Linked DNA regions of Mus musculus: regions 2, 3 and 4 are each reported to be linked to region 1. The links are microRNA targets in miRTarBase. Many come from high-throughput screens and were not tested one by one. Region 1 holds a microRNA gene; each other region holds the end of a gene's coding sequence.

The links. The annotated mature microRNA mmu-miR-709 reads GGAGGCAGAGGCAGGAGGA and lies in region 1 at 5,148-5,166, opposite strand. An mRNA with a match to its seed (bases 2 to 7 or 8) in the 3' UTR can be bound and repressed. Matches are read on the target gene's strand: a 7mer-m8 pairs with bases 2 to 8, a 7mer-A1 pairs with bases 2 to 7 and ends in A, and an 8mer does both.
Region 2: the mRNA of Mfsd4a is a reported target of mmu-miR-709. Seed matches in the 3' UTR shown: 7mer-m8 at 5,883-5,889 and 7mer-m8 at 5,877-5,883.
Region 3: the mRNA of Tmx4 is a reported target of mmu-miR-709. Seed matches in the 3' UTR shown: 7mer-m8 at 4,089-4,095.
Region 4: miRTarBase lists Cd2bp2 as a target of mmu-miR-709. Seed matches in the 3' UTR shown: 7mer-m8 at 4,555-4,561, 7mer-m8 at 3,946-3,952 and 7mer-m8 at 3,940-3,946.

Annotation. Positions count from the first base shown.
Region 1 is chr8:84,084,333-84,091,332 of GRCm38, reverse strand. It overlaps Mir709 (microRNA 709), which reads right to left and starts at 5,234; the gene lies at 5,147-5,234. It overlaps Rfx1 (regulatory factor X, 1 (influences HLA class II expression)), which reads right to left. Exons shown (of 21, transcript NM_009055.4): 8 at 5,666-5,760; 9 at 3,261-3,627; 10 at 1,041-1,222; 11 at 264-383.
Region 2 is chr1:132,032,320-132,039,476 of GRCm38, forward strand. Mfsd4a (major facilitator superfamily domain containing 4A) reads right to left here. Exons shown (of 10, transcript NM_001114662.1): 10 at 4,464-6,654. The coding sequence ends at 6,599. Among named protein-coding and RNA genes, the nearest start is that of Elk4, 28 kb to the left of the region's middle.
Region 3 is chr2:134,592,373-134,599,531 of GRCm38, forward strand. It overlaps Tmx4 (thioredoxin-related transmembrane protein 4), which reads right to left. Exons shown (of 8, transcript NM_029148.1): 8 at 2,129-6,493. The coding sequence ends at 6,153. Among named protein-coding and RNA genes, the nearest start is that of Hao1, 42 kb to the left of the region's middle.
Region 4 is chr7:127,187,783-127,194,941 of GRCm38, forward strand. Cd2bp2 (CD2 cytoplasmic tail binding protein 2) reads right to left here. Exons shown (of 7, transcript NM_027353.4): 4 at 6,962-7,119; 5 at 6,421-6,859; 6 at 6,233-6,339; 7 at 3,878-6,148. The coding sequence ends at 6,038. Among named protein-coding and RNA genes, the nearest start is that of Cd2bp2, 4.7 kb to the right of the region's middle.

The sequences.
Region 1 (7,000 bases):
GAAATGGGCCAGCTGGGGGAGGGGGAGTCAAGCCACCTGGTTGGGGTGGGGGGGGAATAACCCAGCTGTGTGGGGATGGGCTGGGGTGGGGGGTGGGTAGCAGGTGAGGACTGATGGAGGGGTGGCTGGGGAGGAGGTGATGAACGGATGAGCCATCAGGTCAGGGTTGGGCAGATTGATGAACGTTGTCTAGGGCATGGTCAAGTGGTATGATACAGCCAACTTCGCAGCCCCTGCTCAGTTCCAGAGCAGGAGGCCCCTACCTCTGTTTCTGGGAGAAGGGCTGGCCCCGCATGGCCATGTGCTGCTGGTCCTCCATCAGCCGCAGCAGGGGTGAGCTGGCTTTGATCCGCAGGCCGTAATAGTGGTACTTAGAGTTGCCCCTGGGAAGAAGGTGGGGTGAAGTGCTTTACCGGCTGGGCAGGAAGAACACTGGGGTTCTCATGCATCCCTCTCATTTAGGGGCCTGGACAGAGAAAGCTTGCCAGCTGAGCTGAAGAACATGGCATTGTATGCCAGGAGTGATCACGGACATGGTAGTATGAGTCACTGCCTGCTGCCAACTCTGATACCAGGCACACACTTGGCAGACACGAGGCTGTTGGTCATAGGGCATGTGAGGTGCTTATACTACTAAGCAAGTAGCCCCACTTTGCTTTGTCTCTATCCCATGAAGGGTGCTCCTGACAGCCTAGACAGACAGGAGAAAACTGAGACGCGAGGATGAAGTGCATGGCCGATGGGTAACATGAATGAACAAATGAACACATGCATGAAATGATGCCTGAAAAACTTCTCTAGAAGAGATGAGCAAGAACCAAGAGATCAGTGAGTAAGGAGATGGGGTAAAGTACAGGAAAGGGAAGATGGCCCAAGGGATGTCCCCAGGGTAGGCACAAGCAGAGCTGAGCAAGGGAGTTAACAAGGGGCAAGAGGGTCTTTGCCCTGTGGTTCAAGACCCCTTGGAGTTGAGGTGGGTCACGTGGGCAGAGTGTACACCCCCCTGGCCAAGGGCAGATGAGGGTGGAGGGGGGGCAAACCTGGTGCCCAGACGGCGCGTGCGCAGACCCATGAATACCGAGCGGATGAGCTTGCCGAAAGAGGCGGCATTAACTGGCTCCAGCTTCTGCTCTTGGCAGTGCAGCAGGTAGTGGCAGTAGAGGGTGCTCCGTGGCAGGCTCACGCCCTCAGCGGTCTCGTAATTATCCAGGAGCCACTGGACCTGGAGCACACGAGAAGACTGGGTAGTGCTGACAGTCTGCGTGGCTGAGTTTTCTGCAACTGCTTTCCACAATGGTTCTGAAAGCCACCCTTGCCAGCTGTAAGTCACATATCCTGTTACAGTATTCCTGGGGATTACAGTCTTAGAACTTTCTAGAACAGCACTGACTGATACACTTGCTACTAGCCACCTGCAGCTAAAGACAAAGTTGTTAATATATGTGGGATGAAAATTCAGTCTCCCACAGTCACAGAATAAGAGTTACTGCAGAACATCCTAGGAGTGAGGTAATAAAGATGGAAAGCATTATAGATTGAAAACAAATTCATGTTCCTAAAGGGGTTCAATATGTTGAAAGTGAGGTAGAAGAGGGTGAAAATATACCTAAACTCCCAACACTGGGGAAACTGAGGCAGAAGAACCACGAGTTCAAGAATTGACTACAGAGGGAGATTCTGTCTCAAAACAATCGACAGAAGCCATCCCTGGTCCCAAACTGAGATTTCTGGACTGGATGTTTTCTGTTAGGGAAGTGGGACGGGACGAATGAGTAAGGAGTCCAGTGACGGGTGCATGGGCGTTTGTCAGACCTCGTTATTAACAGTGCTTTTGTTTATTGTTTAAGTGTTCACCGGTACAGGCGTGGGGGCCAAAGGTTAGCAGCTGATGTTTTCCTCGGTTGCTCAGTTCCTGGTGTTGCTTAACTCAGTTGCTTGTTTTTGTTGTTCATTTTCATTTTATGTGTGTGTGTTCTGCCTACATGTATGTATGTACCCCATACATGCCCTATCCCCAAAGGGGCCAGAAGGAGGTGTCAGATCTCCTAGGACTGGAGTTATAGACAATGTGAGGTCCATGTGGGCACTGGAACTTGAACCTGGGTCCTCTGGAAGAACAGCCGCTCCCACTCACGGGCCATCTCTCTTGCCCCACCTTAGATTTTTTTAAGACAACATCTCAAACTGAAGCTGGAGTTTATGTCTGGCTGGCTGTAGGTGAGCCCCAGGTGCCTCTCCATCCCTGCTCCTCCTAGTGTTGGGCTGATAGGCTGTGACTTGCTGGGGACTCCAAACTCAGAACCTCTTGTTCTCACAGCAGGCATGCTTCTCCTGGGCCATTCTTAGCCCCTTTCTGTTCATTGTTCTACGACATTTATTTACTTACTTATGTACAGAGGGTCTGTGTGAAAGTCAGAGGAGCTGGGTCTTGGCCAGCACGAGGCTTTCAGGGATTGAACTCAGGTAATCAAGCTTAGTAGCCAGGGCCTCTACCTACTGAGTCATGAAAGAAGGCTACGCTGGGTACCCCTCACCAGCTCGGAACTCTGGAGCCTCACACCCACTCATGCTTCTGCCTCCCCAGTGCCGGGGTCACACAAGCACGTGCCACCCAACCAGGGTTTGGTACCATATTTATAGCTTCCTGTGAGCCTATAAGTCTTTCAAATAAAACTGAAAAAGGAAAAGCCCACAACACAGATCCTCAGGGACCTTAGCCACCTGGGTGCAACAGTAACCGAGGTGAGAGGCGTCTAGTCCAGGCACAAACAACGTGCACCTTCTCAGCAGACCTGCTCGCTGCACCAGAGGACCCACAGGGTTGAGAAATCAGAAGGTTTGCAGCAGTGGTTTATTAAATAGACTAAACTAGTGAAGACCAGCAGCCAGGGTGTGCTGCCATGTGGAGGGTGCAGTGTTCTGACCTGATCCATGGTCCTGACTGATAATGGGCCCAACTTGGGCTGACTTCAGCTCTGCCACTGTGATTGTAGGAGCTCCCATCTCTCATTTCCTATCAAGCCACCACCAGTTCTGACTAAGGGCATTTCTGCAACTGTCCTCAGAGCTTCACATAGCAGCTGAGGTACAGAGTGGCTGAGCAACACCTAAGGCAACACCACAGATGAGACCAGGCCCTAGGTCATATGAGCACTATCACTGAGCTATGCCTTGGGCCAAACTTCTGCTCTCTGAGTACTGCCAGGTTTTTTTCTCGAGTGTTCCCCCCACCCTCACCTCTGAATAAGGCGAACACTTACTGTGGCTGGTGAGGCACGGGTGGTGTGGGAGTAAGACTGGCTGGCATTGCCTAGCATGTAGCCGCCTTGGATCACGTAGGTGCCTGCTCCGCTGCCGCTGCTGCCGCCACTGCCACCACCACTGCTGCCGCCTCCCCCATTGCCCCCTGCACCCACACTGCTGTTGCTGGCCCCAGCCTCGCTGCTGGATGAGCTGGCGACAATTGGGCTGCCGGACACATACATGGGCACTGAGCCGCTGCTGGCCACCGTCTGGGAAGTAGCCGGCGTGCTGACCTGGGCAGCCGTGCCCGAAGCCTCATAGTAGCTGGTGCCTGCCGTCTGCGTGTAGATAGGCGTCTCCGGGTACTGGTAGGTGCTAGAGCGGCTGCCAAGAAGCAGACAGGAAGCAATGGTCACCACCTTGTACAAGGAGGCAGGGGTTCCAGGAGAGGACCAGAGAAGCCACAGAAACACCAGTGTGGCACCTTCACATATAAGGGACTGGGGACAGCCTGAGCACTGGATGGGCAACCACTTTCTTGTTTTCTAAAACATGTCTTTATATTAACTTATTACTTGGAGAGGGGCACATGTGTTCCGTGGCATACACACAAAGGTCAGAGACAACTTGTGGGAGGCGGGGCTCTCCTTCCACTGTGGGTCCTGGAGACTGAACTCAGACTGTAAAGCCCGGCAGCAAGCACTGCTGAGCCATTGAACCAGCCCTCGCTGGGCACTGAGCCACAGCACTCCAGCACAGGAATCACTCTCCTCACTGGTACTGAGCCACAGCACTCACTGGTACTGAACCACTGCACTCCAGCACAGGAATCAATTTCCTTACTGCAGAAGAGGAGAAAACAAGACAGGGTCCAGAATGCAGAACGTACTTCCTCGGCAACAACGACAAACAGTTCTCAGTCCAGGGAAGGGAGATACAGGAGGGAAGGCAAAGTACAAAGGACTGCAGGGTAGGCAGAGGGGCCGCCTTGGCTACCTCTTCCTGGCAGGGAGCTGCCCCTCCAACTCAGAATATGTCCTGAGTGCCGCATAGGGTAATAAGCCGCAGATCTAAGAGGGGCAACTGTAGCAAGCAAGCCACCCTAACATTTGGGCCCATCTCTGCAGGCTGCAGACTAGAGGGGGTGAGGCAGGAAGAGGAGACGCAACATGATTGCCTTGAGTCCTCCACTGGGTACCGATGGACAGCCAGAAACGAGAGGTTGGGATGAGGAAAAGACCACCCTGTGTGTAGGCAGAAGGCTCTCTGTGGGGAGGGGACAGGCAGGGCCACCTCTCACTTTTGCTCTTTGAGCCCTCCCAATGTGACAGTGATTAAAGCAGGAAAACTTGAGCCTTGCAGGTGGCTCAGTGGGTGGGGATGTTTGCCATCAAGACCGAAGACCTGGGGTTGATCCCCAAAGCCACACAGCAAACAGACTCCAGTGTTAGCATTGGCACTACGCTCAATACATGGTGCATACAACCCCCCCCCATCATCCCATGCACACACTCGAACACATGTGTATACACACACACACACACACACACACACACACACACACACACACACACACACACACACACACACACGAGGGCCAGCAAGGTGGCTCTGGGGTCAGAGACTCACCACATGAACCTCTTACCTAGTACTTGAGTTCTGACCTCAGGTCATGACCTTGCTTCTCAGGTCTGATAAGCAAGAAGCAAGCCATTTACTGATTTATCTCCCTAACCCCCAAGAAAAATTGTAAGACAGAATATGCAAGCCCGAGGAACTGGATTTGCCCCTGCAACCTGTGTAAAGGAGAGAGAAAACGGACTCCTCTAGGTTGTTCTCTGATCTCCACCTGCACCACAGCACATGCACTCTCCCCACACATAAGTCAATATAACAAAAGACAATCCTCCTGCCTCTGCCTCCCCAGTGCTGCTCAAACAGGACAGTTCTATGCTCAGAGCACTTCTGAGTAGAAGCAGAGAAACGGGACACACTAATTACTCTGTGGGACACTGAGGGTCAGATTGAGAACCTGTGGTTCCAGCACGAGAGAGGAAGTGTCAGGCAAATCTCTGAGTTCAAGGCTACCCTGGTCTACAGATCAAGTTCCAGGGCAGTGAGGGCTATACAGAGAGACATTGTCTCAAAAAAAGTTTATGTTGTAAAAATGTATGTATAAATACATATATGTATGCTTTTTCTTTCCCCTTTTCCTGCCTAAAATCCAGATCCATCTAACTGCACAGCTCCTAATTTGTGGAGGTGCCTTCCCAATGGGCCAGTGTCTCTTCTGCTACCAGCTGCCTATATTCCTGGCACCCCACAGGTGTGGGGCTATCACCTGAGCCTTGGGGGCCAGCTGGGAGTTAGAATTGTGGCCCTAACCACATCTGAGCCCTCCTTCCACCCTCTGCCCACTTACATGGCGCTGGCTGTGTAGCTGGCATCGCCACCTTCCACGTACTGCACCTGGCTGGAATACACGTGTGGGACAGGCACCTGAGGGAGTTGCTGTACCTGAAGCAGGAGGAAAAGCAGGGTCATGGGTCAGGGCTGACCACCACCCACGGGTTCACTGATGCCCACATACATCCCCATCTAGAAGGTTGCACATCATGGTTTTCTGAACAACATGGGCCAGAGGTGGGAGGCTTAGGTAGGAGGCTTAGGTGGGGCCAGGTCTCAGTTGTGGCTGGAAAACAGGAGGTGCTGGGATTCTCTGCTTTGGCAAAGAGGTTTCTAAGGCTTATGAGCAAAGGAGGGGATACCAGACAGAATTCTGCAATGGGCTTGAGAGGTGGGTTTGCAATCTAAAAACCGGGCCTGGGGGTTTTCTGGAAACCAAAAAGGTTTCCCAAGCAGATTAGGGGTGGAGCCTGAAGAGGGATCAGTTGATAGAACAACTAGAAACAACTGACAACACCTTAGGGGCAGGTACTGGATAGCCTACCTCCACCCCCAACCCTGGTTTGCAGGAGCCGTGTCTGGGACCCAGTCCCTGAGGCAGAACAAGAATGACTGGCAGCACTTTGGGGGACAGGGTAAAGACATCTCACCCCACCCGCCTTGGGTTGCAGGGGCGAAGCCTGGGAGCCTGGACTTGAAGGCGAGGCAAAGCGGCTTGCTGGGCTGAATGCCCTTCCCCTGCCCGCCCTCCGCCCCCTGCCGTGCCTCCGCTGTCCGCCGCCACCTACTTTGAGGGCGGTGCCGAACACTAGCACCTGGGGCATTCTGTGGATCCTGACCCTCAGGTCGGGGCTGGCTCGGGCCGAGAGCCCCCGCTGTGGCTCGAAGACCACCCTCTGCTGCGGCAGGAGCAGGTGTGGGGGCAGCATGCCCACCAGCTCCACCCACTGCTCCACACCCGGCTCGTAATGGAGCGGCTGCTGCTCGCTGCCTAGCTGCAAGACCTCGCCGCAGCACACTGGCCCAGGCCCGGGAGGCCGGGGCGGCGGCTCCGGCGGCGGCGTGGGCCGGGTTTCTTGCTGCTCTGCCTTCCTAGCGGGAAACTGACTGCCTGAGCTCTGGAGGACAAACAGAGACACTGGGGTATCACCCGGCTGTGAACTCATGGCCACCCGAATGAAGATTCCCCACTTGGGATCTCCTTAGAGAAGAGAGGAACGAACTGGGCACTATCAGAAAGAAGCGGAATTCGAATCCAGCCCTCTTTCAACAAGACCTGTGTCCTGAGTGGTCAGGTGCTGGGATGGGGACGGATTCAGGATGAAGTCTGAAGCCGAGGGCTAGAGTGAAA
Region 2 (7,157 bases), not on the chromosome of region 1:
AGGGACTGCCCCGAGTAGCCCAACTGGGGACCTTACTTCTGTTGCTTCTAAGCTTTATGTAAAAGTGTTGTAACTTCTATAAAGATCATGTGTATTTTAAGAAAATGATGCAGTTTTTAAAACTTCTATGTAAGAACTGACAGAGGGATTTGCCTGTATGTGGGAAGCTGGCTCTGAGAACGCACTCTGGCGGGTTTACTCCAAGTCCAGAGCTGTCGAGATCTGTCGTTAGAGACGTGCAACTAGATATGGACAACAATTGTATTTTTTTAAAATAAATATTTTTAACAAAATGACTTGGAGTGATTATTTCCTTCCCCTCGCTCACCAGTCAGTGATATTTTCATCCACACTAACTGGGTAAGGAAAGAATTCAGTGGGGATCCTGAAACGCAGTCTTCAACTGCTTGATATGTCTTCATGGAACACTTAAAGCCAGCTCAGAAGAAGGGGACGACGGTGAAATGATTGTCGGCGTGGAAGGAATGGAGAGAGGACAGATGGGCTGGAAACACTGTGAAATCTTTAAAGTTGTACTACATTTATTTATGTTGTGTCTGGGTGTATGTGCAGGTTTGCCACAGTGCATGCATGGCAATTGGGACAGCTTTGGGGGATCAGTGTTTGGCTTATGTCACGTGTGTCCTGGGGATCAGACTCAGTCAAAGGCTTGGTGGCATCTCCTTTGTTCTGTGGGCCATCTTACTGGCCCTGAAATGTGTGTGTCTCAGCGTGTGTATGTGTGTGTGTGTGTTTTATGCAAATGTCATACAGTTAGTTGTAATCAGATGTGTTCACCGAGGCTTTTGGGATGAACACATTGCTCATTTCCACTTCAGCCCCCTTTTATGTTTTCAGAAAGGGTCTCGTGTAGTTTTGGCTGCTCTGGACCTTGATAGCCTTGTGGTCTTCCTGCCTCAGCTTCCTGAGTGCTCGTTACAGATGCATACCACAATGCTTGGCCTCCCTAGCCCCCTTTCTTTGGAGAGCTTGGGAGAAGAAAAGAAAGGACCAGTTAATTTAGCAGTGAAATGAAGTGTTTTTAGAAGTGGCTTAGAACATGATGGAGGATGTGGGCCTAATGGGTGGCCTGATCACATCAGAGAGCGCAGGCTCATTCCAGATGAAAGTACCAAGAGCATACCAGATGGCTGGTGGCAGGACACAGGCCCTGGGAGTGTCTCTTTGGCTGGTGCTTGACCACACCGTTGAGCCAATGAAGGGCTTTCCTGGGAATCTGCTCAAATGCATTACCTAAGAACACTAATCTTAGAGGAGCTGAGAAATATGGTCTTGCTTTTTGCAGTCACAGAGTGCATTTTTGAATACCCAAAGCTCCAGGTCCTTCGGTGGAAAAGCCTGCCACCATTTCGGCCTTTCCAACTGTTGGCACTAGTTTGGCGAAGCGCACTGACTGCAGGTACCATTCCATCTGTGTTTCATAGAGGCGTCTAATGGCCACCATCCTCACACTGGGCTCTTTGGGCTTTATTAGGTAGGAGACAATGTTGAGTGTCCCAGGATCACACTCTGATCATCACAGTATACCTGCCACTGAAGGAATCATGAAGTGACTTCATCGGAGTCACTCAGAAGTACAGTGATGTGTCATAGAACTGTCACAGAAGTAAAGACTTCAGCAGCTGTGGAGGTTCCTAGCAGATGCAGCCATGGTACTGGATTGTGAGTGTTGTTCCCATATGTTTTGAACACACTGGTCATTTACCTAAGCCCCTCTCCCATCTAGCCCAGTGTTTGTTAGTCCTGTTAATCTCTCACAAGCACTGATGTCTTCTTAAGATGCTCTTCCCATACCTTCCAGGAAGCCACTTTGACTGTTGAATGGGTTCCTACCTCTGGCTTCTAATTTTTTACTACATCAGTTCTTTTTCTAAACCCCTAGGTTTTGAAGAACCCCCAGGCTCGATCTCTCAGTCCCTGCAACCACTAACTAGGAGATTTCATTCCTTGTCTCTGAACACTGTAAGCTATATAACTTCTCTTTAAACTCTGGCTACCAAGTCTAGCAGCTGGCTTGATATCCAGGATAGCATCATATACTGATGTGCAGAACTGTTTTTTTTAAAGATATGGCCTCAGGCTTGCAAGATGGCTCAGTTAAGAGCACTGACTGCTCTTCCAGAGGTCCTGAGTTCAATTCCCAGCAACCACATGGTGGCTCACAACCGTCTGTAATGAGATCTGTTGCCCTCTTCTGGTGTGTCTGAAGAGAGCTACAGTGTACCCATAGGTTGGGAACAGCTGCTCTTCCCAAAGATGGGAGGGCGAAACAGAAGAATCCACCAGAAGTGAGCTTGGCTGTGCAGCAGCGAAGAACTCTTCTCAGACAAGATGGAAAGGCAGGGGCCAACACCTCAAGTTGTCCCCTGACCTCTACAGGCATGGAATAACATGTATGAGTTACATAAACCTGAGTTTACTTCACATGTCCTTTCCCATGATACATCTGATCTTCATCATATTCGTTCAATCATGCATAGGCACGGTGGTAAGTAGGGTTTTTCCCTAAGACTTCATTTGTAGGGCATAGTTTGCCTTATTGTCTATGTTCCCCAAACCAGTTTAGGCTGGATGAGCCCACATTTCCAGATCCCAAGGTGTTTCAGGATGTGTTTGGCCACAGAAGGGAAGTTACTAAGGATGGCTAGGGCGCTCCAGGTTAGAGTTACCAGTTGCTTTATTTAAGAAGGGGTGTGCAGCCTGATGTTGGCAGGGTCTCAGCTTGTTAAGTACTGTATGTATAGCCAAGTAGAGTCTTCCCTGTGCTTGCCTACCTCAAAATGCCTCACACCTGGGCATAGGTCAGATGCCTTCAGCTTGAGACTGGCACCCTTCTCTTATACTCAGTCCATCAGCAAATTCTGACAGACCTTCCAACTGAATTCGCCCTCACCATTTCCACTGCTTCCAGCATGGTCCAAGTCACTGTCACCTCTCCAGCCCTGCAGTGTATCTGAGCCTACCTCAGCCCCACTGTCTTCAAACAGCCAGAGTAACGGTTTTAAATGTGTGAACCGTGCCATGTGACAGTCTGTTGGTAAGCTCACATCCCCCAGAAAAATCCACATTCATGCCACCCTGTTTCTTGCCACTGTCTGCCTGCTTTGCAGTTTGTCCAGACCAGTCTGCCAGCTGCTCCTCAGATTCTATGGAACATTCCAGTTCAAGGCCCTTCCCCTTGCTGTAGCCTCTACCTGGCAGGAATATTCTCAGGTACCCACCCGCCTGGCTTTCTCCTGTGTAGCACATGTCCTCTTGTTAAGATAGCCCGAACATCTGCCGTTCCCACGCCCACCCCTGCTGCTTCTTACAGTACTCTATCATCCTATAACATGTTATATATTTACTTGCTGTTTCTATGGCTTTGACCTTGAAGTCTCTGTGAGGCAGGGACTTCTCATTCATTGCTGAAACTGTACCTGAGCCTCTGCTTTGAACATGGTGGCTGTTTGATCTTTTTTTTTTTAATGTGTAAACGCAATCTCTGTAAGAAACTTGTGAGCTGAGGCTATCGCTCATGGGTAGAGTGCTTGCCTCCCTGGTGTACTCTAAAGTGGATCCCCAGGTGCACACAGGCTGGCCTTGGTGCTGCATGCTTGTCATCCTAGCACCTGGGGTGTGGAAATAGGAAAATCGGGAGTCCAAGATCATCTGAACTACATGGCATCTAGTCTACCTTGGGCAATGTAAAACCCATTTCAAAAAGACAAAACGAATGAATAACAACAAAACAAATGAACCCTTTGTGTCACTATACCTTCCTTTAAATGTGTGCAAGGTATGCTGGTGGCTTAGATCCCCAAGTCTGCAGAAGGAATCTGGGAACAGGGAGACATCACAACACTCTTGTTTTGTTTTGTTTTGTTTTGTTTTCGAGACAGAGTTTCTCTGTATAGCCCTGGCTGTCCTGGAACTCACTTTGTAGACCAGGCTGGTCTCGAACTCAGAAATCCGCCTGCCTCTGCCTCCCGAGTGCTGGGATTAAAGGCGTGCGCCACCACTGCCCGGCTTTTTTCTTTTTTTTTTTTTCTTTTTATTTTTTTTATTTATTTTTTTTTGTTTTGTTTTGTTTTTTTACAACACTCTTGATAGCTAGAAGTGTGGCTTAGTGGTGAGTCTTGCCTAGAATGCTTGAAACCCCAGGTACCACCCCTAGCCCTGCCCCAAGTTCCAAAGGTGTACATATATACATACATACATATACACATACATAACATACATACATACATACATACATACATACATACATACATAGTTGTCATGTGTGTATCTTATATTGGGTGTGTGTGTGTGTGTGTGTGTTTGTGTGTGTGTGTGTGCACAAGAGTGTGTGCATGTGCGTCACGTGAACCTCTAAGAGAGACCTGTCTTTGGGGAGCGTTAGACCATTTGATCTTCAGTATAAAGGGTCGACTGCCCTTCAAGATGGATAACACACTTACTAGGTTTAAAATATTTTATTTTAGGAAAGTATGAGATTCTTTTGAGTTTTCTATATTAACACATCAATCATCACCAATGTAGGTATAAGCAGTGATTCTTCTTTCTAGATCTGTATAAAAAGGATGTTTTCTTGAAAAAAAAACTACAAGAAAAATACAACCACTTTCTCTTTGCCCAGGTCAGTCACCATAGTTAGATTGCCCAGCTAGATTTTAATATGGCTAGTATGAGGTACTTTTCAATGAATTTATAAATATAGTTAAAAGGATTTGCTTAGGCCATCGGCGTTTCAAAGTTAAATTTGACTTAAAGTTTGTACCAAATGGAGATGACGTCTAAGCTGCGTATGAGGTGTTACAAAGAATAGAAGTAAAACCATGAACATTTGGAAGGCAGGTCCCATGTAGGGCATGCAGCAGATGCTCCACACACTCTCAGTTCTCTCAGAATTCCTGTGAGGTAGGGTGCTTTTAGAAATGCCATCATACTGGTAAAAACAAGCAAGGCTGGAGGTGGGGGATGGGGGGCTTCTGGAGTCACAGCTAGAAGGCTGATAACCTGGCCCACCTCTGCTCTGCTGGTGTCTAGTGTGTGAACTACAGCCCTTGGGACCATGAGTCCATGCTCACATGAACACATGTATATGCACAGAGAATGTACAGATTAAACCAATGACTGTAACAGGACATTTGTTCCTCCTAGAGACTTCCCAGAGACAAATCATGTCATGTCGCTGATGCCAGAAGCCTTGCACCCAGCCCTGCCCGGGCTGGTGAGCCGCCTTCTTGTATTCTCTGGATTACTAACCTACCTTCTGTATAGAAGAGGGCACTCCTGACAGACACTGGTTTCTGCATACTGACACTGCTCTCTGTATACTGCATGGCTTGAATTATATAGTAGTCCTAGATTTATATGGGAGGGAGGGAGGGCCTTGACACAGTATAAAATTTTCATCTATAAAAGGTATAAAATACCAAATGAGCTATTTTTTTAAAAAAAATTCTTCTGTACCTTGAGGATCTCAGTAAAGAACAACAGACTGTCCATTTCATTCTCCCTGCACTTTCTGAACCAACTAGCATTGCTCGTTAGCAGAAAGACGCTGGAAACCCATCTGTTCCCAGGGGCACGGCTTTCACCATTTCTGGGCCATGGCTGACCTTGGACTACCAGCAGGCTGTCACAGAGATCTGAGAGGAGGAGCCCAGCAGTATTCTGTCACAGAAATGTCACCACCTTGGTGCCATGGACACTCCTGAGCAGCATCTGAGCTGCTTCTTGGGCTCAGGAGCATCTGCCATGTAAAATTAGAAAGTGAGGTTTGGAGAATTACCTTTGTTTAGTTACAATTTTTTTTTTTTTTTTAAAGCTAGGTAGTGGCAGTACACACCTTTAATCCCAGCACTTGAGAGGCAGAGGCAGGAGGATCTTTGTGAGTTTGAGGCTAGCCTGGTCTATAGAGTGAATTCCAGGATAGCCTGGTCTACAGAATGTGTTCTGGGACAGCTGGGGCTACCCAGAGAAATACCATCTCAATAATAATAAAAATAATAATTTAAGTCTTTGTCATGCCTACTAGCTCTCAAAATGAAAATTTAACAGTCAACTTTCTAAAGCTTGTCTGAGTTAGCCCAATGCAACACTGACTAGGGTCTCAAAGCAAGATTCAACATTTCCTTTGTTGTCTTAGGACACAAATAAACTGATTTCTGCAGGACGGATGTGAGGGACTTGGGACCATGGGTAAGTGAAGAACACATAAATCTTTTTTAACATGCCAGAGGGGCTTGATTGATTTAAAATATATCTACACCTAGCAGTGGTTAATGACTTAGGATTTTAGCATGTTTTTCAAACTTCAACTAAACGTGATCTCAAACCCAGAGTTTAGCCCATGCGTGGGGTGGTGTGTGGAGAGGTGTGTGCGGGCTGTCTTTCATCCTCCTGTCTGGTTGTCAGGACAACAAGTCCGGACCAGAGAGGAAGATAACTAAAGTGTCAGGCAGGTGCTCGATTTGTCCAGGGAAGACTCAGGGAAGGAAGACACAAGCAAGAGCAGCCTCCTGTGCAACCCTGGCTTCCTGTGTCAGTCTGGTCACCCTGTGGCTCAGGAGCTGAGCTCTTCAGCTCTTCACCTCTGGTAGCACTCAGGGTTCTCCACACCAAGGGCTTTGTCTTGGGTAAGAACTACAAAAGAAAACATAAACAACACTGGTAGCAAATGTGGGCGGCCCCAGCTTCCTCTGCAGCATTTAGCTCTTGAGAGCAAGCAAGCTGTATGCTTTTCTGCTAGTCTAGCTCTAGGTGCACTAGGGCACACGTACAGCCACAGTCTCATAGGTGCACACATGTATGTGTGTGCGCTCAAGAGCACACGCCACACACACACACACACACACACAATACACACACGGCACTGTGGGAAGTCAGATCAAGATCAAGTTCTGGTGAAGTGCTAATAGAGACAGTGAGACTGATATCTAGGGCTGGGGGAAAAAAACTGTTTGTCTCCCATAAGAAAGGAACATTTGATATTCACAATCATCATCATCATCACCACCACCATCATCATCATCTCTTCCTCTTCCCCCTCTTCCTCTTCATTTTCTTCAAGGGCAGTCTTTATTGGGATATTTATTATGTGTGTGGTGGGGGAGTGTGCATGCTACAGTCAGGATTCATGTAGAAGT
Region 3 (7,159 bases), not on the chromosome of region 1:
GCCTCTATCTCCTATCTTCTTCAATCTCCCACCTGCTGATGACACTTTCCTGACTTCAGAGCCTGAACTTCATACCTGGTGGCTGTTGAACAGCTTTCTTAGGTGACTGTTATTTCAAGCTGAAGTCAAAGAATGCTTAAGCCATGTTGGGAATGTTCTCAAGAGCTTTTTTTTTTTTTTTTTTTTTTTTTTTTTTAACTTGCTTCTGCCAGCACACTCTCACTCTCCTGTCCCATTAGCCTTCATATTAGAAATGCTTGGTTTACTTTTTTTGGTTTTGAGTATAAGATGCTAGTGTGACTTCAAACACCAAGCTATTTAAAGCCAGAAGCAGGCCTATGCTTTTAGAAAACTCCTTTGCAGGAGACAAGGCCAAGAGAGAAGGTTTTTCTTGGTTTTCATGGGCTGATGAGTTTTTTGTTTTGTCAAGGATAGAGAAGAGCATTTTCAGTTTTTCCAGCTTATTTCCATCTTGTCACAGCCAATCCTTGTATACCCAGTATCTGGAGAGCCAATGAAGCATGTAGTCATTGGCTTCCAAAGATGTGCGCTTGCTCCATGATCACCACCACCAAGACAGACCTAACAGCTCCTTTCTTTACCTTTCTCATGTTCCTAGTCCGTTATTCTTTTGTTTGTTATTTTGAGCTGAACTGTCCCCTTAAAAATAGTAGCCAACGTATCTAATTGTAATGCAGAGATAATTTTTGTACTATCTCCCAATTTTATTTTCTACCACACTATTTACTAAGTATACCTTAGAGAGTCACATTAAAAATTATTTTTATCAAAATCCCATTTTAATAGACACGAAACTCTGACTTGTTGTCAAACCCTGAATTATTGTCCTCATTTTATAAATGTGGTCATTCTCCCAGCTCTCACAGTTGTAGATGGTTTCTTGAGGCTATTATTTGAATTGACCTTACTTGGCAAGAGACTTATCTTCCTGCTAACTCATAAGAATAGATCTACAGTTTTAAAACAAAGGTTAATAGACAATAGAAACTTGGTTTTTAATCATTCTACTTTATGCTACTTGAAAATACAGCTGCTAGTCAGAGAAGTGCATGCCATGTATCACAGCACTCCTAGGAAATTCTAAGTCTGGAGAGTTGTAAATCTGAGGCTAGCTGGGACACTCATCGTGACCTTGCTTCAAAACACAAAACCCCAAATACAAAGTAAACTATTTAAAAAGAGACAAGTGACAACTACTTTTCCAGTAAATACAAGAGTCCGCAGATCAGCTGGCTTGTCACCTTATTTGACAAAGATGTTAAGGATATGAGAAACAAAATACACTATACAATATTGCTATTAGTCAAAATAATCAAGCAGCCAACCTGTAATCTCTTATGTGCCTGAGACATGTGCAGAGAGCATGGGCTAAAAAGGCAGTCACTGTTTCAATGATTTATAACTTCATGAGCCTGACAGTTTGTTCTTTTGCACCACTGATATTTTCTGCATCTATCATATGGTCTCTACCATTCAATTCCAGGAAAGGGCCCCACCAGTGACACTAAAACACTCTACATTCTAATGGCAAAAGATTTTCCAAAGGGCAACTAATGTTAAATTAGCAGGATTAAAGAGAATCCCACTTACTATACTTAGAGATTATACTAACTTACCTGAGAGGTAGATTAGTGAAGAATTTTCACCAAGAGTCATTCACACAGACAGAATTCTTACCTCTACTTTGGTAAAGAAACTGGGTAAAATTGAACTTAATAGCATTTTTTCTTTTACCAAACAGCTTACTACTATCTTTCAAAAGGAATAAATCAAATCTCCATTACATCAGTGTGAAGTGTGTTCAAAGGAGCCACCTTGCCTTTTTGGCTCTTTTATTGCTACAGAGGTGGGAACAGGTAAGTTGAGATAGTCTTCTCTAAGTCGTAGGAGACTGTGGAAGGCCAGCAATCTTGGAGAAGTAGCAAAGTCACTAAGTAAATGCACGAGCCTGACCAGGGCAACTGCAGTGAGCTCATACAGATAGGACAATGGGCTGTGGTGTTCAGAAACCCTTGCATTAACCTTGGGCACACTGCATGGATTTTACCAAGTCCAAGTACAAAAAGTGGAGAATGAACACTCAGAGAATAAACACAGAAGAAAATTCTTTTTTTAACAAAGTAATATTTTCAACTGCTTTCACAAATGCTTTTATGTGAAAATATTCATATGAAAAAGCAATACACCACTCTGTTTCACTTGGTCATCACTATCTTTAGGTTTTGACACAAATGGAACCTGACAATCAAATGGCAGTACATAGGCTCAGGGTTATGTACAATTCTGTGATCAGAGAATTTGTAATGCAGGCAATGTAGTACTTGAAATGATGAACTGATTTCTCATTTCAATTGCTACACATCTATTTGAGAGCACAGAATACATAGGTAATGGAAAATAAATACACTGGGCTAAACAATCAAAACTATTACAAAAAAACACACCATTTTATAATATACTGACTCACAAATGAACAGTGTCATTAGTATAAAAATTGCATTTCTACAAAGCTTTCCAAAGACAAATAAAATTAAACCACATTAGAAATGAGTCAAAGCCACAGGTGAACATCACAGTCTACACGAAACTTTAGAGAATAAGCCTCTGAGGTCAACATGCTAGGCTGAAGCTGTCCAAGGTTTCTCAGTTGAGTCTCCTGCTTTGGGTAGCTGCTCAAAGAACTGACCTAGCAGGTTTCATGAGACTCCACCTTGGCTTCTGTCAGAAGCTACAATCTCACAAGGATCAAGTCAATGAGGTAAAGAGACACAACACTGAGAGCGTTCTTGTTGGCACAAAGATTTACACAAATACTTTCCAAACAGTTGAATGATTTGACAGGCTAGTCAATCACAAATGTACAATACTGGCAGGAATAACAGCAGGACACTAAGAGGAAGAACACAGAAAACCTGTACACACCAGCAAAAGCTCCATTCTCTCTCTCTTTCCCTCACTTCATGCTTAGGATTTTAATGCTGAAATATCTTTCACCCTTTACAATTCTTTAAAACTTCCCTTTGACCTCCATTGTTTCCAAACTCGCAAAAGCCACATGGCAGATATTCCCTTAACTAGCATTTTAATCTCCTCCCCAAAAGATGTTACACAGTGCACTTATTCAAGCTTACATATACTCAAACCACATGGCAATATCTTAATTATCAGCCAGGAGTTGGCCCTAAAAGGTCAAAGTGTAGCTTTTCAGCTGTCCAAAGCTGATCTGTGTCAAGCTTGTTTGCCTTCCATTGCACTAGTTATTATAAATAACAGGTACAGATCCTATGTACAGGATGAGACTGCAGTGACTGCCACACAGCACAATGGCCTATGTAGTGAATGAGACATCTCTTCCATGTTCCATGATTAGCCTTCAAAACCAAACAATAACAACAACAGAAAAGTGAACTGCCTGTGCATCGCTCCCATGGGATTCTAAGCAAGTCAGTGTGGTTCAGCATGGTTAAGGAGGTGAAGGGTTAAGAAAAAAATAAAAAGAGGTAATGGAATTTTCAGATATTCCAATGAAGAACAAGGCACCTTTCTCTATCCATCTGTGCATAAAGCACTATACACCCTCATTCCACAATTGCTATCTCATTCACCAGATTTTAACATCCAGAAAATAGCAATCTACAATTAAATAGCAGGTATGGCAATGGAAGGGAAGCATGGTTTTTGTTTTAGAAAATCACATTTTCATGCACTTCACTTCTGGATTAAATTTATTATGTACACAAAAATGTATTAAATGTTTATCTAATCTTAAGTTGTTTATTCCTTTAATTTTATATGAACAAAGTATTGAAAATAAACCTTAAGGCTTCATATGGAAAGAAATTAAGGTCCTGGACTATTTACTAGAAACCCAATTTTTGCCAGGATGTTAAAAACAGAAAAGCCAGGAAAAAAAATGATTCCTACAAATAAATATAATTTTAGTGGACTAGACCCCCTTCTCCATGACTTTTTCTTCCAGCTTCCAATATCTTTTAAGTATTAAGAAAGGAAATATAATGCGGGTGGTGGTGGTGGTGCACGGCTTTAATCCCAGCCCCTGGGTGGCAGAGGCAGGCAGATTTCTGAGTTCGAGGCCAACCTGGTCTACAGAGTGAGTTCCAGGACAGCCAGGGCTACACAGAGAAACCCTATCTCAGGAAAAAAAAAAAAAAAAGAAAGGAAATATATTATCTTATTATATTATTAGGTAGTATTTGTGGTCCAAATGGAACCTGGTTTTAAAACATTTATCAAAGCCAAGGCAGACTGTAATCCTTCAAGCTTTCCCTCTTGTCAAATATCCCATTAAAACCCAGTATGTCGATTTGGAGGAGGGTACTTCACAGAACAGAGATGCAAGTCGTCCCTTTCCCACCACTCTGAACTTGGATTTACTATTGCTTAAACACTCCATGCATCAAGGAAGGATTACAAGGGAAGGAAGGAAGGAAATATACTGGCAGAAGAGAAGGTGCAGCTCAGCTCTATTAGGAAGATGAAAAGTACCACAGAACCATGACACTTTTGAGTAAGGATGTATCAGAAGGGCAGAAACATGGAAGGGCAGTAAGGTCTCCAGTTCTGTGATGGCCTCAGCCTTGAACTGACAGTTAACTAAGTTAGAAAGATGAAACAAAAACATTCATAAAGAATGGATTGTCACAATAAAATCTTTCTTTGTGCAAGGTTTGTAGCAGCCTTGTGCAGTACAGGAAGGCAGATTCTGAACCTCCACTAACAATGACCCTCCTGTTGGCAGCTAATGCAAAGAAAACGTTATCTAAGCAGCCAGAGAAATACACTACATACCCCTTTTTAAAATGATGAAACATTTTGAGTTTCACAAACCTGTACTCATTATTCTGACTCAACCCAAGGGGGAATAAGATTGAATTTAGTCATCCTTCATATAGCTAGAATCTAATTTTATGGATTTATTCTCAGACTTGAGAGGGTAAGAGAGGAGATAGAGATTTTTTTTTATTTAATAAGGAATCTGGGTTCCTTGATACTGATATTGGATTGAGCAGGGAGAGATTTATAATCACACAATTCTCCAGAGGATCAAGGGAGATAGAAACAAATAAAATCTTTTACCTACTGAAATTGACTTTCATCAATTTGTTTTTTCACCAAAAGCACATCACTAAAAGCAAAGCCGACATGCCTTTTCAGTTGTTATTAAAGTGGTTCCAGAGAGGTTTCTTGAGATGGAAACTAACCACCACAGACCTGAAGTCAGCTTTATAAAAATACCTTACAGTGACAAGGCTTAGAGCACTCTGGGTTCAGAAAAACAAAGGATGTGGCTGGAGAAACTCTTGAAGAAGTTATCCTGTAACTATAGGACCCAAAAAAGATGTTGCTTGTACCTGTCCTATGAAACTGCCACTGCCTTTTGAATTTTCAGAGAGTACAGCATATGTCTTTGAGACACTTGGCAGTCTTAGCCTCCTCAACTGTGGTTCCCTCAAGTTTTACATCCAGTAAGGGTAATCCATGCAGATCACTGCTGCCGGCTCTTCTCACTACAGAGCAGCTGTGAACCATGGGAGTCTGCAAGTGCAAGGTGGAAAAGTCATAGAGATGAAAGGTAAGAAACAAAAGACGAGAGACCAAAAGAGCTCAGATGACTCCCTAGCTCCATGCTGAAGTTCTATCTATACCCCGGTCTCCACAATTTCTAGCCTCAAGAGAGTGCTGGGGAGCTGTGGTACCTGATGTTTCTGACCTGACTAAAACACATGCTTAACAACGACGGCAAAGACTTCCTGCACTTTAAGGATGCTCTGGTTTTGCTGTCACTTTATCAAGCAGCAGCCTCACTTCTAAAGGTGCTAATGAGAACTGCAGAGAAGTCCTCTGATTTACTCTTTGGCTCCCAAGCACATCAACTTGTTCTCTTCAAGACCCCACAAAGGTACTAACACTATGATGGCTAAGTGCTACACCTCTCTTACGACACTGAGGCTTACTACCATGTAACCACGGGGCCAGAGATCATCTTCTAAAAGTGAACACTGCTCATTCAGAAAAACAAAACAAACAACTAAGGATTTGGCTTAAACTGCAGACCAGAGGGAAACAGACTTCTTTTTTGGCCTGTATTTTTAGAAATGTCATAATGTAACCTAAGATCCCTTGTTGGCATTCTGACTCTTGCGCTGCCTCAGGGCGTCTTCCACCACGTCCTGAGTGTCAGCTGGGTGAGCTCCGTCCTCCTTTGGGGACACACTACCCTCCTTCACAACTGCTCGCTCGTTGGTGTCACTTCTCTCCTCAGCCATGATGCCTGCCAAGTTGTCCTCTTCCTCATCTTCTTCTCCTTCATCCTCATCTCCAATGTCCTCTTTCTCTTCCTCATCATCCACAAGACTGTCTTTGTTTTCTTCTTCATTTGAGTCATCCTTTTCTTCCTCTGCATCCTGTAGCTGCTCAGCTCCTTGAGCCTCTCCAGTACTCTGCTCCTGCTCTATGGAAGGAAAAGAAAAAACAAAAAAACAAAAAACCTCTGGATAATAAATGGCAACTTTGTAATTAACTCACTGATTAACCAGGAGATGAACAAATGGGGAATTTAAAAAAAAATTTTTTTTATTTTTTATTTTTATTTTTTTGGTCTTTTTGAGACAGGGTTTCTCTGTGTAGCCCTGGCTGTCTTGGAACTCACTCTGTAGACCAGGTTGGCCTCAAACTCAGAAATCTACCTGACTCTGCCTCCTGAGTGCTGGGATTAAAGGTGTGTGCCACCACTGCCTGAAGAGTTTTAGCCTCATCTAAAAATTTTATATTTCCCTATAAGAGCACCACTGAGTGTATGATAAGGCAGATGGGAATGGAGTACAAAGTTTTGTTTTATGGTATACAGTATGTATTGCATGCTGTATAAAATACTAAATGACTCACTGGTCATAGCAACTATTTCAGACAAGCCAATAAAAGTCATACTCCCCAGGAGTTTGAGACCAATGTCAGGAAGAAAAGATCTCTTACCACAAAGTTAAATTGATAAAATATGTTTGGGAATACTAATAGTTACTGAATGAACTTCATAAACATAGTATCATCTGGGCTAGGCTTGAAATCAGAGAACTCCTGCAGCAGTTTAGACTGGCTGCCTTTTGCACTCCAAAATGCT
Region 4 (7,159 bases), not on the chromosome of region 1:
CATGCCTTGTGTCTGGGATATAAAAATGTCTCTCATATCTCAGTGAGAGGAAGATAACCTAATTCTAAGAATTATAGTTAATTTGAGACACAGCCATGTCTCTCATGCTACACCCCAGTCCAGACTTGAACTCATGAGCCTCCTCTTGCTTCAATCTGAGCACCTGGATTATAAGCATATGTCGCCAGTCCCAACTACAGCTTTTAAAAAATGGGCAAAAATATAAAGAAAAAAAAAATCACAGGCTGGTGAGATGGCTCAACGGTTAAGAGCGCCAACTGCTCTTCCAAAGGTCCCGAGTTCAAATCCCAGCAACCACATGGTGGCTCACAACCATCCGTAACAAAATCTGATGCCCTCTTCTGGAGTGTCTGAAGACAGCTACAGTGTACTTACATAGAATAAGTAAGTAAGTAAGTAAGTAAATAAATATTAAAAAAAAAAATCACTGAATCTCGTGACTAATCTTTAGGGACAGGCAGAGTGACTGAGGTCCTTGAACACTCACAGGCTGAGGGGCACCGGGCTTGCGGCTTCACCTCAGTGCTCCGCTCCGCATCTCATCTGCTTCCTCAGCACAATGGGCAAATTCGGTATTAAATAAAGAGTTGGGACTAATATGTGTAGGGATGCCTCAATGCCAGTCTTCCTTGCCAAACGATGGCTTGATACTCGGAACAAGGACAGTGTGGACTGGGTGAGAAACTCAGCTACTTGGCAAGCATGGAGCGGCAGAAATAAATGTGCTCAGAGCAGGACACTGGAGCCAGGGATCCTGAAGCCACTGCAAACTGCAGGGCAGAGGCCGGCAGAGGAGAGGGTGGGAACCGGAAAGTCAGAGCAAGACTGATCGCATCAGAACAGGAAAACAGAAACTGCTCAAGGCATCCCCCGGGGCAACCCCCAGGCTGCTGGCTTCTACAGCCCCAGCACCTGCAGTATGGCAGCTGGAGTCCTACCTTAGAGATAGTCTAGGCCTGACAAGCCCCTGAAGAACAGAGACTTGGTAGGGAGAGGCCGGCAGTAGCTGGAATTAGCTGAGTGTAGGTAGACTGTATATAGGGCCCCAAAGTATTGGTGGTGGCCTGGGGTTGCTGAAACCCTGTTTAACACCATAACCTTGATCCCCAAAAGGACCAAGGACAGCCTGTCCTCCAGGGGGAGTTCAGAAATGACTTCACACTCCCCAGAGCATCAACACCTCCCATTTTGCACACACCTGTTTATAACCCAGACCTGAGACAGTCATCGGGTTTCAGGATCATGAGAAGTTGGGTACTTTCAGATACACAGCTTGGTTTTGACTTCATGTAGACAGCCACAGCCTGCAATCTAGGATCAGCGGCAAAGCAAAAAGGCTCATCTAGTCAACAGATGGAGTCAGACACTGTCACACATCTAAAGATACTAGAACTTCAAAGGAAATGCGAGGGTGGAAAGTTTGAGGCCAGTTTTTTGTCAAGAAAAAACGGCCTGAGAGATAGCTCAGCAGTAAGGAGCAATTGCTTCTCCAGAGGAGGCCCTGGGTTCGCTCTCCACTCACAGGTGCCTCACATCTGTCAATCAAGTCTCCTGGCCTCCAAGTCTGGCATGGTACACAGACACAGTACACATACATGCAAGCAAACATGAAAACAAGTAAAATCTTAAAAGACAACAACCCCCTACACACACATATACACAAACAAACCAAAACCAGCAGATGAATGCTGTGAGGCTAAGACCTCTTCCTGTGGGAAGGAATGGAGGGTGTGTCAGACATTCTTCAATAAAACCATTTTTGTCTAGTTGGGTTTTTGTTGTTTGAGGGGTTAAGACAGCTCATGTAGCCCAGGCTATCCTTAAACTTGCTAGGTAAACTGAGACTGAATTCCTGGTCCTGTGTGCTGGGATCACAAGCATGTGCCACCACACCTGTGACTATGCAACTCAGGCTTTCCCTCAAGTGCTGCAACCAGTGTGTCCCACCACACCCCATTTGGCTTATTTTAGCAGCGTTTGGACATCACTCTACTACTCCTTGTCCTCATGAGTTACCTCACCCAGAGGGTCCAGACTCCCTGCCTCGCCTGGCTCCTGTTACCTCCTTGGAAACAGACAGCAGTCAAGTCAATGTACTGAATGTGACATTGTCACCTATAGCTTTGATCTTAAGGCTTTCTTGTGTGTTTGTCCAAGATACAAGGATACTCCACAGAGTAAAAATGGCTGCTGTTAGTTTTATGTTAAGTCGTCTGGGAAGAGGTACTCTCGATTAAAAAGCCTCTGTAGATGTGCCTGTAGGCAAGTCTATAGGGCTCAGCTCACTGTATCCCATGTATGAGCTGGTGGTCCTGGGTGCCATCAGAAAGCAAGCCGGGCAGGCCAGTAAACCACGTTCTCCCACGGTCTTTGCCTCTGCTTCTGCCAGCTGGCTCCCGTCAGCTTAACAATGAACTAAACTTCTTTCCCATGATGCTTTTGGTCATGGTGGTTTTCTAGTTTTTTGTTTTAGTTGAGACAGGGTTTCTCTGTATGTTTTTGGCTATCCTGGAACTCACTCCATAAACCAGGCTGATCTTGAACTCGAGAGATTCTCCTGCCTCTGGTTGGGATCAAAGGTGTGCGCCTCCACCTTAACTCATATCTTACTTAGGTTACTTGGGTCCTACGTTATCCCAGCAAGGAAAACATTAAGACACACTTCATTGCCCTCTAAGAGACTCTGGGTTCAGACACCTGTATTCCAGTATTCAAACAGCACCCAGAGAACTTCAGTTTATGACATCTTTGAACTTCTGATGCTCCTGCTGAGATCAGACGTGAGCCACCTAACCATGGCACCCTCACTTTTAGTCTCCTTGAGAAGGCTGCCCCTGTCAACTGGACAGGGAAAAGCTGGCTCGCTTCCTTTGTCTTCAGCGCTCTGCCTCTAAGGCTAACACTGTGGGGAGGTAGTTTAGGTGCTGGTCAGAGTCTGGGCTACAGACTCAGTGGGAGAAACAACCACCAAGCTAATTCTCTCAAACCCTCCCCCTACCATAAACACACACAAAACAAAACCGAGAACTGGGCTGGGCTATTCCTCAGTGCTAGAGTGCCTGTCCAGCAGATGCAAGCCCGAGTTCCACTGCACTCCCAAGAGAAGTAGCTGCACAACACAAAGTGGACTCAGTGGGGGAATAACCACTCAACTTTGGGCGAGTGGGAGATAAGGCTGGATATAAGCTGCTGGAGAACAGAAATGAATGTAATTAAACAACAAGCCGGGCATGGTGGCGCACACCTTTAATCCCAGCACTTGGGAGGCAGAGGCAGGCGGATTTCTGAGTTCGAGGCCAGCCTGGTCTACAAAGTGAGTGCCAGGACAGCCAGGGCTACACAGAGAAACCCTGTCTCGAAAAACTGTGTAGCCCTGGCTGTCCTGGAACTCACTCTGTAGACCAGGCTGGCCTTGAACTCAGAAATCGGCCTGCCTCTGCCTCCCAAATGCTGGGATTAAAGGCGTGCAGCACCACAGCCCGGCTAAAACCAATTTTTTACATGTGTATGAGTGCTTGCCTTTGTATTGTCTAACCACCTGGTAGTCTAGTGCCTGGAGCTAGAAAGCATTAGACTCCCCCACAGTTACCTGGCGACAATTGTGAGACTGATTGTGAGCCTCCATGTAATTACTGAGAATCAAGCCTGGGCCCTTTTAACTGCTCAGGTATTTCTCCGGCCCCCTTATTAGAAGAGCACATTGTAGCCGGGCGGTGGTGGCGCACGCCTTTAATCCCAACACTCGGGAGGCAGAGGCAGCTTCTGAGTTCGAGGCCAGCCTGGTCTACAAAGTGAGTTCCAGGATAGCCAGGGCTACACAGAGAAACCCTGTCTCAAAAAAACAACAACAAAAAAAGCACATTGTAGTTTTATTACTGGAGAGGAAGTGGAGAGGAAGGCAGTTTACCCAGCACTTGGGAGGCAGAGGCAGATGGGTCTCTCTAAATTCAAGACCAGCCTGGTCTACATAATCAATTCCAGGCCAGCCAGGGTCCAAGAGAGACTCTGTCTCAAAACAACAAAAACCCATCCAAACAATTACTGGCTTTGTGCTTAACAAAGTCCATGGTCTTACCACCCAGAATAGACCCAGTTCCGAACCTAAGCAGGGTTGGGTCAGGTGAGTGCTTGGCCGGGAAGACAAGGAACTCTGGTGGCTCTCCAGAGCGTAGCTGGGCGCAGACTCACTTCCGACCGGTGCTTTATTAAATTACCACAATGTAAGCAGCTTGACACAAATTTATTATCTTACCACTCTAGAGGGTACAGTACAAAGTGGGTTAACTGGGTTATCACTGTGGGACTGCACCTGTCTGAGAAGAATCTGTCTTCTGCTTTTCCCGTCTCTCCAGGCACCTGCACCCTGAGACATACGCCTCACTTCCAGCTTTCAGAGTCCTCTGCTCTCATTAGGGATCAGCAAGGACCCATGACTACAATGGCCCAAATAATCAAAGGTAATCAATCTCCCAGTCTCAAAATTTCTTAATTTTGCCCAGCGCCATGGTGCATGACGTTAGTCTCAACACTTGGGAGGCAGCAGGCCAGTCAGGGCTACACAGTGAGGACCCCCTTCCCCATTTCAAAAAATTAAAACAAAACAAAACCTCAATGTCACTTTACCCTTTCCCTCTGCCACATAACTCATAAAGTGGTATTCACACAGCTCAGGATGTGGGTATCTTCAGGGATCACTATTCTGCCCCCTCCTTGGTGTTATCAGAGAAGGGGAGAACTCGCCAAGCGTGAGGGAACTGAGTGACACCTGGGTATCTATCCCCCAACACCTGTGAACACTCAGGCCACCTGACTAGATTTCACTCGTCCCAAGATGCCAGGTACCTCAGAAAGCCAGTTCCTCTGTAACAGTTAACACCTTACCAATGCCTGGAGGGTTTCTGCTGTCTCAGTGACTCACTGCATCAGATGTCCTACTACTACTAATGGGCTTCTTGAAGTCAAGGCAACTGCAGTCTAGACTGGCAGGAACCAGTCTAGTTGTTAGATGTGTTGGAGGTCTCTGCATCAAATACCCACCACCAAGCCCGAGCTGAGCCTAGGAACTACTTCCCAAGTTCTCAGTTTGTAGCTCCTGGGGCGCCTCCTGGAGACAGATGAGGCGAGCAGAGCAGCATGGTGGGGTGAAAACTTAGGCCCTGCCTGCCTCCCACAGCCCTCTACTGCACTCCAGATTCCTGGAAGGGCCAGACCGACTGTTTCCTCGAGGCACCAGCCCCATGCCCGAGATGTGGGAGCCCAGGAAACGTACACTACAATGCCTGAAAGGCCAAGCAAGAAAAAGCTTTATGCCAAAAAAGGTCAGGAGACTTAGCTCCATGGCCAGCTCTCTATTACTGTGGCATCTCCAATAAGCCACTGCACTTTGCCCCCCTCTGTGTCACATGGTGGCTCAAGCAACCTTGAAGTGCTACCAAGTTTATACTTCACCTAAAAGCTACAGAAGCTACTGCAGGGGGGCGAGGGGTAGAAAAATCAGACTATGGAAGAAGAGAATGCATGTTTAAGAGAATCTCTCAATAGGATTTCAAGGTCTTCCCAATGTCCCAGCTACAAGGGAGCTGCCAGGACAGAGCATTTGAGGTCCTAAAAGTCAAAGATCAGCAGAACAGGGACTTGCAAGGGAGACTGGAGAAAAGAGTGATGGAGGGAATTTTACACAGCAAGTAGAAGTTGTCTACGTAGGAAAGTCACAGGACATCTGATGGGCCCTACCTCTGCCTCCAAGGGTGGGAAAAAAAACTGAGGTGGTCCAAGACACCAGAGAGAAGCAAGTGAGGAAGTCTCTCGGGAAGAAACGCTCAGGGACCTACCAGGTGAAGCCAAAAGGAGCTATGGAGAAGCCCTGGCTCTTGGCCATCGCACAGTCAAGGCTTTTATTGGGAAACAATGGCTTTAAAGTGGCCTCCAATATCCTCACTGCCCAGAGCAGCTGGGGCTTCCTCTGCCAAGTTCAAGAAAGAAGGGGCTGCCGTGCCGCATGGGGCCCTTAGCGGGCTCACGTGTACAGCTCAAAATCAATGCGCTTGGAGTTGTAGAACTGGCCGCCCGGAGGGTCCAGCTTCCGACAATAAACACCATCCGGGAAGTAACCTTCACTCACCCACGTCTGTAAGAACAGAGGACAGAACTCAGGCAAGCTGACAGAAGGTGGGCTGGACAGATGGGACAGACGCGGCAGGGGGCAGCTCACCTGCATCTGGGCACTGGTGAAGGGTCCATACAGCTCGGCGTCCCCCGTGTTCTCCCATTTATACTCCCACATCACATCCATCAGGCCATCTCCTGCTGACTCTGCCTCTAACACAATGAACGATACTTGGGCCTCAAGCACTCAGTCTCCAGCCCACACTGCCCCCCACCCGTGCCCTCCAAACTTACCCTCTCTTTGGGTAGGGGTTGGGGTTTCCAGTTCACCCTCTGCTACTTCCTCAGCAAACATGTCCAGGGAGGGTGGAGGTGTGGGGTCATGGGATCCCTGGGCCCGACACCCCAAACCCTTCAGTCGCATAGCCAACCGTTCCCTTGTTTCCTGGTACACACCAAGGTTGCCTCGTGCCACCATTTGGTCAGCTAACCCAGACAGCCGGTCTAGCCGCTGGGGGGAATTGGGCCGTCCAGTCCCCTTGCTGTTGCTCCCTTTGCCTCCTCCTCGGGCCCCCAGCCGCCTAAGGGCCCCAGCCACTGTCTCTCTTGGCAACAACAACTCCAAAAGTCCCTCCAGGAGTGCTTGGGCGCTCATTGGAGTCTGACCCAGGCTGTCTTCCTCCTCCGAGTCTGAAACCTGGTGCTTATCAGGGGGCCGTTCCTTGATCCTCACCTACAAGGAAAAGATAATTAGAATTTCTTACAAACTTCCACCAGGGCCCAGGCCCTGCACCTGCACTCCCAGGCCTCAGCCAGAATAGTCCCTGGGCCACACCCAGTCAATGTTGTCCAGCCAGCTGTCTCGGATCTGCGCATCCTGGTTCAGGAAGTAGTTGCCATCAGCATCAAAGTGGCCTTCCTCCATCTCTTCCTGCAGGTTGAAGGGTGTGATCCTCACACCGCCCTCACTAGGGAGAGTAGCTGCTTCCTGACCTGCACCGAAGACATTGGGGGTGGGGCATGCTAGACACGC